2 linked regions of the Caenorhabditis elegans genome follow. The protein of the gene in region 2 interacts with the protein of the main gene of each other region in a pairwise test. Each region holds a gene or a part of one and is shown on either strand. Other genes may lie near its edges. The genes, in order: nekl-3 and mlt-3.

Region 1 (3,931 bases), on a different chromosome or scaffold from region 2:
TCGGTAACAATTCTGATCTTGTGGTTTGTGATCAGAAAATATTTTAGCTAGCGAAAAGGGTCTGAAAAACTTGAAGCTTTCAGGTAAGCACAACCATTCCAACGTACATAGATTACCTACATTTTTATTATTTACACATTACAGCGCTTTTAAAATAATACAACGTTTTTTTAAGCTTTTTTTGGTGTTGGTTTTTTAATGGAAAATCTATATAAAAATAAAACATTTATAATCTACATGAATTAAGAGACAGTATGAGAGTAAAATTTAGCACATCACGGATTCACGTGGTCATTGACGAATGTTTCCACCTTTTGAAAATACAAGAACACTACGTTTTAAAGAAAATGTTTGAAATTGAAATGTTATAGCTTTTTTTAGAATTGCGTTGAAGGAGTTGTTGATTGGTCCCCGGAAGGCGAGAAGTAATTGTTCATGTGTTCGGCAACCTTTAAATTGAAGTTTGTGCTATCAAAATTGAAGAGGCTAACGCGGAACGAACCTGTAGAACTTCACTGGTCTCTGGTCGTTTTGAAGCTTCTGGAAGTATACAACGGGATACCAAGTCGCGGAGCTAAAAATTTTTTCGAATTTGAAAACTGAAAGCACTTATTCCAAATGTTTCAACACCTAAGTTGAACAAAACACAGGTTTGCACTTACTTGCGTTGAATAAATATCAGCAGGCAGAGGTGGATATTCGCAGTTTTCGATTTTCTTGCAAAGTGAGTACAGGTTCATCTTGTCACCGTAGAATGGTGACTGAAGAGCTGCCATTTCGTATAACAGACATCCAGTCGACCATAAATCGGATTTGAAATTATACCCGGATTCTTGAATTCTTTCAGGTGACTGAAAACTTTAAAAGTGTATAAGATGTACAGTACTTTTGTAGTAATCACACCCCAAAAATGAAATAGATTTTTTTTTAAATTTTGATTGATGATATAAATAAAACATGAAGTGTGAATGCATTTTTAGGCTTAAAGAAAAGTACAAACTCTAAACAAAAATTATTTTAAAACGAATGCCACAATGTTTTTAATGTTTTTAAATAGTTTAAAACTTGTGAAGTAAAACTACTAAAAGTACTCCAAAAATATATAAAATATTGGTTCTGAAAAATTAAAGTCTAACTCACGAAAATTCGCAAGTTCAGAAAATTACAAAAAAATCATGTTTTTTTTTTCAATTTCTTGTTATAGTTTTTTCAATAAAAATTACACGAGTCAAAATAATTCTCAAACCGTTAATATTATTACTTCTGTCTTGTTTTTCTGATCGAAATTACCAGGTCTTACCATGTAATAAGGAGTTCCCACGAGTGAATGAGCAGCAGTTGTTTTCGAGGAAAAGAATCGGCCTAGCCCCAAATCACCCAACTTTACGATTCCGTTTCCCGTTATGAAAACATTGGCGGGTTTGATATCTGAATAGATATTATATTTAAAATTAAAAAATGATAAATGGGTACCTCTATGCATTATACGTTTGGAATGCATGTGGGCTAAGGCTCTCGCTAATTGAACAAAATATTTCCAGATTGTCTTTTCAGGAATCAAACGACCACCTTTTTTGAAATGCTAAAAATGTTTTCGTTGTTTTCACAGCTCATTAAAAAAAACCTTAATCATTCGACTCATATCTCCAGCTTCTGCTAATTCGAGAACAATATTTAATTGATTATTATCAATAAAAGATGCGTAGTATCTATAAATAGAATTATCAAAAACACGTGATGTCCCCACCGTTTGTACCTGATCACATTAACATGATTAAGTTGTTTTAACAGATCAATCTCCTTCAGACAGTCTTGCCGCGCTTTTTGGTCCACCATTTCAAATACCTGAATATTAATTCAAAATGCACACCTTAAAGTTTGAAAGCAAACCTGAATCTTTTTGAGTGCCACATGTAAATCTACCCATGTACATTGAGCACGGAAAACTTCACTGAACTGTCCTTTTCCGATTTTCTTCTCGATTATGAATAGTTCCAAGCTGAGTTTATCCGGTGGTGGATCGTCAAAATTATAGATGTTCGAAATTTTGTCCATTTCTGAAATATTGAAGTTTGATGTTTCAAACTTACTTTAAAAAAAAATGATTGATAACGTTAATAAGACGTCTATCCAAAACAATGTGTTATAAACTTGAAAATTTTTCATACACAATCAAAGACCTATATTTTCAGACGAAATGCATATGTTCAAAGTAACAAGAATCTTACCTGATACTTCAGGACCGAAACTTTTGGAAAAATTACATTACATTTAAAACTAATTTTTTTGTTTTCTCGGACCAATCCCCGAATCCACCGATACAATTACACATTCAAATGGATATTACTAGTAACTTACACTATCTCTACAGAAATGATGATAGCTATGTGAAAATCCGTGTGTTATTTTCTAATTAACATTTACACTGTCTATCTGCATGACGCAGATAGGATAAAAAATGACGGTGCAATCAGTTGGACGGAGACGTTGCATATTTAAATCCCCACATATATCGTGGCTCTTGATGTGTAGGGAGTGTTGTTTAAGCTTAGTGTCAAGTTTTCATACGTATCATATATATTTTTAGTTACTATTAAAAAAATCCCCCTTTTTGGTATTAATTGAGACAACTGTTGAAAACCAATTATTTGTTCCGTGTATTTACTACTTGTGACTCAGAAAAATTTGCAGAACTAAATCCCCATATTTGATGATAACTGATCTTATCACGTCAGCAAATCTGAACAGATTCCTATCTATGACTCACTACTACTACTGACAGAAAAATGAAACGATTGAGAAAATATCTCACTTAAAATAATAGGTACACACTACACTATAGAATAAAAATAAAACACACAAAAAATAGCTAGACATCTAGTTTAGCCTCATATGCGTCGCAATTTTCAATGCTGTGTAGTTGCCAAGGAGATTCATTTTTCTCGGCTTTCCTCTTTTTCCTCTCAATATCTCACACAAGTTTTTTTGGGAAAAAAGAAGAAAAAAACGGGAGAAGTTTTCTCATGCATTCATAACAAAATTCAAGGAGCGAGAGCAGCGAAAAAACTACTGATATGGAAGAAGACAGAATATGTGTTTCTTTTTCGAATAATGTAACGTTCAGGTGAAAAAAGTATATTGGGAGATGAAATTAAAAGTTGCCTACTGGATGCATTTGATCAATAGATTTGTGATACAAATAATTGATTTGCTTTGGGTCGTCGTCGACGATATGTCTTTCATCTTTCTACACTGTGTTCTCGTTTGCGTGTGATGACGAAGATCAAGTTTTTAGATGACTGGTGATTTGGTCTCCCGCCAATTTAGATTTTGAAACGGTTATTGGCGCAATCGTCATGCCATTAGCAATAAATTTAATTTTATAGTTTTTTAGTTATGATTTAAAGTACTTAGCACAGTACTTCAACACTAATAGGCATGTTCTTTTTCATGGTCATTCCATGGTTATTTATAGTAAACTTTGCTCAGCTCTCAACCATCAATGTGGAAAATGCTGAAGATGTATCAATTAGTGTAAAAGTAGCCAACTTTCCAAAAACTTCATAAAAGGTTTTTTGCAAAAAATTGCAATCACTCTGTTTGCGCGTTACTTTTGGAATTAAACCAAAATTTTGTTTCAACATGCAAAAAAATCACTAATTTCTATTTATGCACCAAAAATTTATTGTTAAATTTGAAAAAATATATATAAAGAATTGGCACTCTTCCATTTATGATTGGCAATATAAATTCTGGTAAAATTAATTTAAAATCGAAACTTTTTTTCACCGTTATGACAATATTCAATGCGCATTTGTATTAGACCTGAATGTACATCCTTCAGTTCGACAAATAAAACCATTTTGAACCTATGACAATATTGTTGTTCTGTCGCTATGTGGATCCAGCTGTTGACAGCAAGCACAGAAAA
Region 2 (3,931 bases):
AATTTAAACGTTAGAAAGAAAGTTTTTAGCTGAGAAAATGACTATTTCTTGAAGGGTTCAAAAAATAGTATATGTTTTTGAAGCTGTGAGCGTCCTTGGACATACAAGATATCAAAAAACGATCAACTACAAATTTGTTTAGCTTGTTATGGAAAATGTTTTAAAAATAAAAAATTTTTCTTATATGTGTAATGTGCCAAAATATGGCTTGTTGAAGTCAGTGATGTTTTGCTCTTACTCAACTGTGCCCACTTCTTGAACATGCAAGATAGAAAAATATTGCCAACTAATAACTCGTTGTTCAGTTGATTTCTGACAACTTTTCAGTTGAAGAAAGTTTTGTATTTTACGTCTCAAGGAAGTTAGGAGCTCTCAAACATACTATGTTTCAATGACCCAACTCTAGACTTTCCATGATTTCTTGGCTGAACATTCATTGTGAACTCTCACACTTGTAGAAAATATCAAACTGATCATTTTCTACACGTTCACCATGTTTTCGAAAAAATTTTCAAAACAAAAAAATTTCATCAAAAATTTTATATCATAAGGGGGGACCCTTATGATTTTCGAAATCTGACAAGTTCCTTCTAAATCGAGAGTTTTGTTTTTCAGAAACTTTAGTATCAGCAAAAAAACAGTCAATAAACAGAGAACTCAAACAAAAATGGCTTTAAACTAACTGAAATGAGCACTTTAATGATGGGAATAACGGCCAAACAAAATGCGCACATTGCGAGAGTTCGCATTGTGCCCTTTATGCTTGCCACTGTGGCGCACGTTTTCGCAAACACGAGCATTGTGTGCGTCGAAGCATTTTGCTTACACTGCGAATCACCTGTGTACATAAAAGTATTTTGTTGAGATCATTTTTTCATCTCGTTGTCAGTTTCTTATGAAATTTGACAATTTCTCGAACAAGGAAAAAATTTGTACACAATTTCCCAAGAAACAAGGACCAGAAATTCTTTGAAAACATCCACCAATATGCCACTTATTTTTGTTTTCAAAATTTTGGTTCTTTTATAAAAATAACTTACCACATTCTGACAACAACTTGATGCGTAATGAATTGCTTGACGTTTTTCTTTATCGCAAAGTCTGGGATTTGCTCCTCTACCTAACAACAATCGAACAACCTGAGAAAAATAATTAAAAATTTTTGATAGATTCCAAAAATCATAAAACCGACGCTAATATTTCCGCATGCTGAAGCCATCATCAGCGGAGTTTGCCAGCGGCTTTCTGTAGAGTCATCAACCTGCATTTGAGAGAAAATCAATTTTTGGGGAGACAATCATTCAAGAATTTTGAATCATCTTTCAAGATCTTTTGGTTGAAAAAATACGGTTCATTTTTTTATATTTTACAGCAAAATTGTCACTGATTGTTAAAACTTCTTGAAATTCGTACCTTGGCGCCATTATCCAGTAAAAATGCAGCAACACTATTATGGCCCAAATAAGCAGCATACAAAAGTGGCGTCCATCCATCATGATTCTTCATAATCATTGTATTCGGGTTAATTTTCATTAATTCTTTAAGTTTATTCTCATCTCCAATACTTGCTGCAGTACATGCATCCATAAGAACATGATCTTCATTTCGAATTATTGGCATTGGTTTTGAGAAAATATCATTAAAAAGGTCAGTATTGCCAGATCTACTCGATGGAACATATGTGACTCCGGGACGTTCTTGTGAAAAACGGACACGAAACGACATAATCAATAATAAGATGTTGGAAGAAATAGAATAAGAAGATAATGTTGATAGATAGAAAATGAGATCATCATTTTGGAACTAGTTTCCCGTGATTTGAGAGACTGTAGACACAGAGAGGACAGTTTTTGAGGGGGAAAAAGTGGATGACTCATGATAAAAAATAATAATTGTATTAGGTTGAACCGGAAGTCTTTGTGACTTTTTCAATCATTTATTTCTCGAAGCAAGAGAAACGACAGGAAACCAGTCACAAAGACTTCCGGTTCAACCTAAATCTTTTTTGAAACTCGCGTCTAACAACAATCAAAACTATACTTTCAAGATTGCGAATTATGGGTGCTCGCCAACTGCCGTTCGGTAATCGAACCTTCGGCAATTTCGGCAATTTCGTCAATTGCCGAAGTTGCCAATTGATGAATTTTCAAATTTAGAACGGTAGATGAATTTGCAAATTTAGAACGGTAGATGAATTTGCAAATTTAGCATTGAAATAGTCATAAATGAATAGCTGTTTATAAATTCTGAAATACCGCTATATCACACCAATGTAGCTCTGTGGAGCCATTTTGTGGGTGGGGCTTTAAAGATATTATAATTTTTTGCGACACTATTTGCTACGAGACCTTGAGGGGGAAATGTTGAAAACACCTAAAAATCTGTCTAAATTCGCCAAAGTTTCATACATATGGTGCTATAAATACAACGTTATATTGAAAAACTTTTAGAATAAAAAACAAAGAAAAACCATTGAAAATCAGAGAAATACAATTCAATTTAAATTTCTAACTGTATCTTTGACAGCATTCGATGATAAATCATCCCATGAAGCTTTCAATTGATTAAAATATACATCAGTGTGCTAATTCATTTCCACATTAATATCCTCTCCAAATGTCCCTTTCAATTTCCTCGAACTATATCGAACACTTTGAATTTTGTTCGGTTTTCTCAACCCTATCTGAAAAAATTTTGAGTATGACCGATCACAATGACTAGTCACTCACCTTGACATATATTCTATGAAGCTCATTTTGCCATGCTTCACTCATTTTGTATGTCAGGTAAGGAGCAAGGAAGCATAATCTGTGACGAATTATTGGGAATGGGCAAAGAAAATATTAAATGAACTTACAATGTGAAACTTAAATCAAAAATAATTTGATAAATTTCTCGTAACAAAAAATTTGAATTGAAAGAGTCGAGGACAATGGTTAAGGTACAAATGATGGGGAAAACAGCCATTACGAAAAGGTAGTGCGAGAAAAACTGAAAACATATATTTTGTGAATTTATGTTGAAAAATTATCGAATTTTCTGTACGTGCGCATTTTTGAACAAAAAAACTATGTAACAATAATAATCATTGACTAATAAGAATATATTATGCATGCCCAAATTTGCAGTCCTCAACGTTAAATTCTACGTCGCCGAGAATACGTACATTTTGCGGGCGGAGTGAATCCTATTATCGCTTCGAGATCTTGAGACCTTGGCGGGAATTCGAATTTACATTTTTTTTTAACTTCAGTGTTTCGAAGAATGTTTGCAAAACTCGAGAAACTTTTTACTAATAGTTACTCACGAAATGTCGGTCATAATATATTTTTCCATGGCAAGTATGGAATGCACTTACTATTAGTTAGTTAACCGTCTGTTCTAAAGAAATATATAATGCTGAACTTTAAAACATCCTTTTAAACTTCTATTGTATCGCTCACCATGTAAAGCCGAAGATTTTCAGAAATTTGATATCGTTCTCCCAATGAATATGAATGTTGGTCTACACGATTATTATAGTAATACCTTCGATTTGTTCGATACGTTATTACTGAGACAATGTAGCATACAAAAATAAATGAGAAATGACAGACACCAAAATATAACACCATACCAACTGAAAATCCAATTAACGTTTTGATTCATAACATATTACCCTACCAGAAGTAAAGACAGTTGATGCTATAAAGGATAGTATTATTAGAAAAATTATTATCAAAAATGGAATGATTGGCCGCTGATTTTTCTCATAATCCTTCACATAATATGTTGCGCAAAGACGCTCCAACATTATTGCAGTCAGTGCAAAAAGAGCTAAAAAGTTAGTTTTCACGATTAAAGACAAGTCTACACACGATTCAACTCACGAGGGGATTTTATAAATGCACGAAACATAAAATAAGATGGTGGCAGCAATCGAAGTTCTGAA

Evidence for each region.
Region 1: the proteins of mlt-3 (region 2) and nekl-3 interact in a two-hybrid assay, tested with the Caenorhabditis elegans proteins (one study listed by BioGRID).

Annotation. Positions count from the first base shown.
Region 1 is NC_003284.9:12,389,418-12,393,348, forward strand, and holds nekl-3 (Serine/threonine-protein kinase nekl-3), read right to left. Parts: upstream 2,058-3,931; 5' UTR 2,056-2,057; coding exon 1,891-2,055; intron 1,846-1,890; coding exon 1,757-1,845; intron 1,710-1,756; coding exon 1,625-1,709; intron 1,583-1,624; coding exon 1,474-1,582; intron 1,429-1,473; coding exon 1,301-1,428; intron 852-1,300; coding exon 663-851; intron 575-662; coding exon 503-574; intron 450-502; coding exon 378-449; 3' UTR 215-377; downstream 1-214. UniProt on the Caenorhabditis elegans protein: Probable serine/threonine-protein kinase required for the completion of molting.
Region 2 is NC_003282.8:12,225,328-12,229,258, forward strand, and holds the start of mlt-3 (SAM domain-containing protein), read right to left. Parts: upstream 1,786-3,931; 5' UTR 1,726-1,785; coding exon 1,414-1,725; intron 1,262-1,413; coding exon 1,193-1,261; intron 1,140-1,192; coding exon 1,041-1,139; intron 878-1,040; exon of another isoform or gene 857-877; intron 1-856. Other genes in the region: sre-18 (Serpentine Receptor, class E (Epsilon)), read right to left, coding at 2,585-2,683, 2,730-2,808, 2,858-2,991, 3,444-3,619, 3,664-3,816, 3,870-3,926.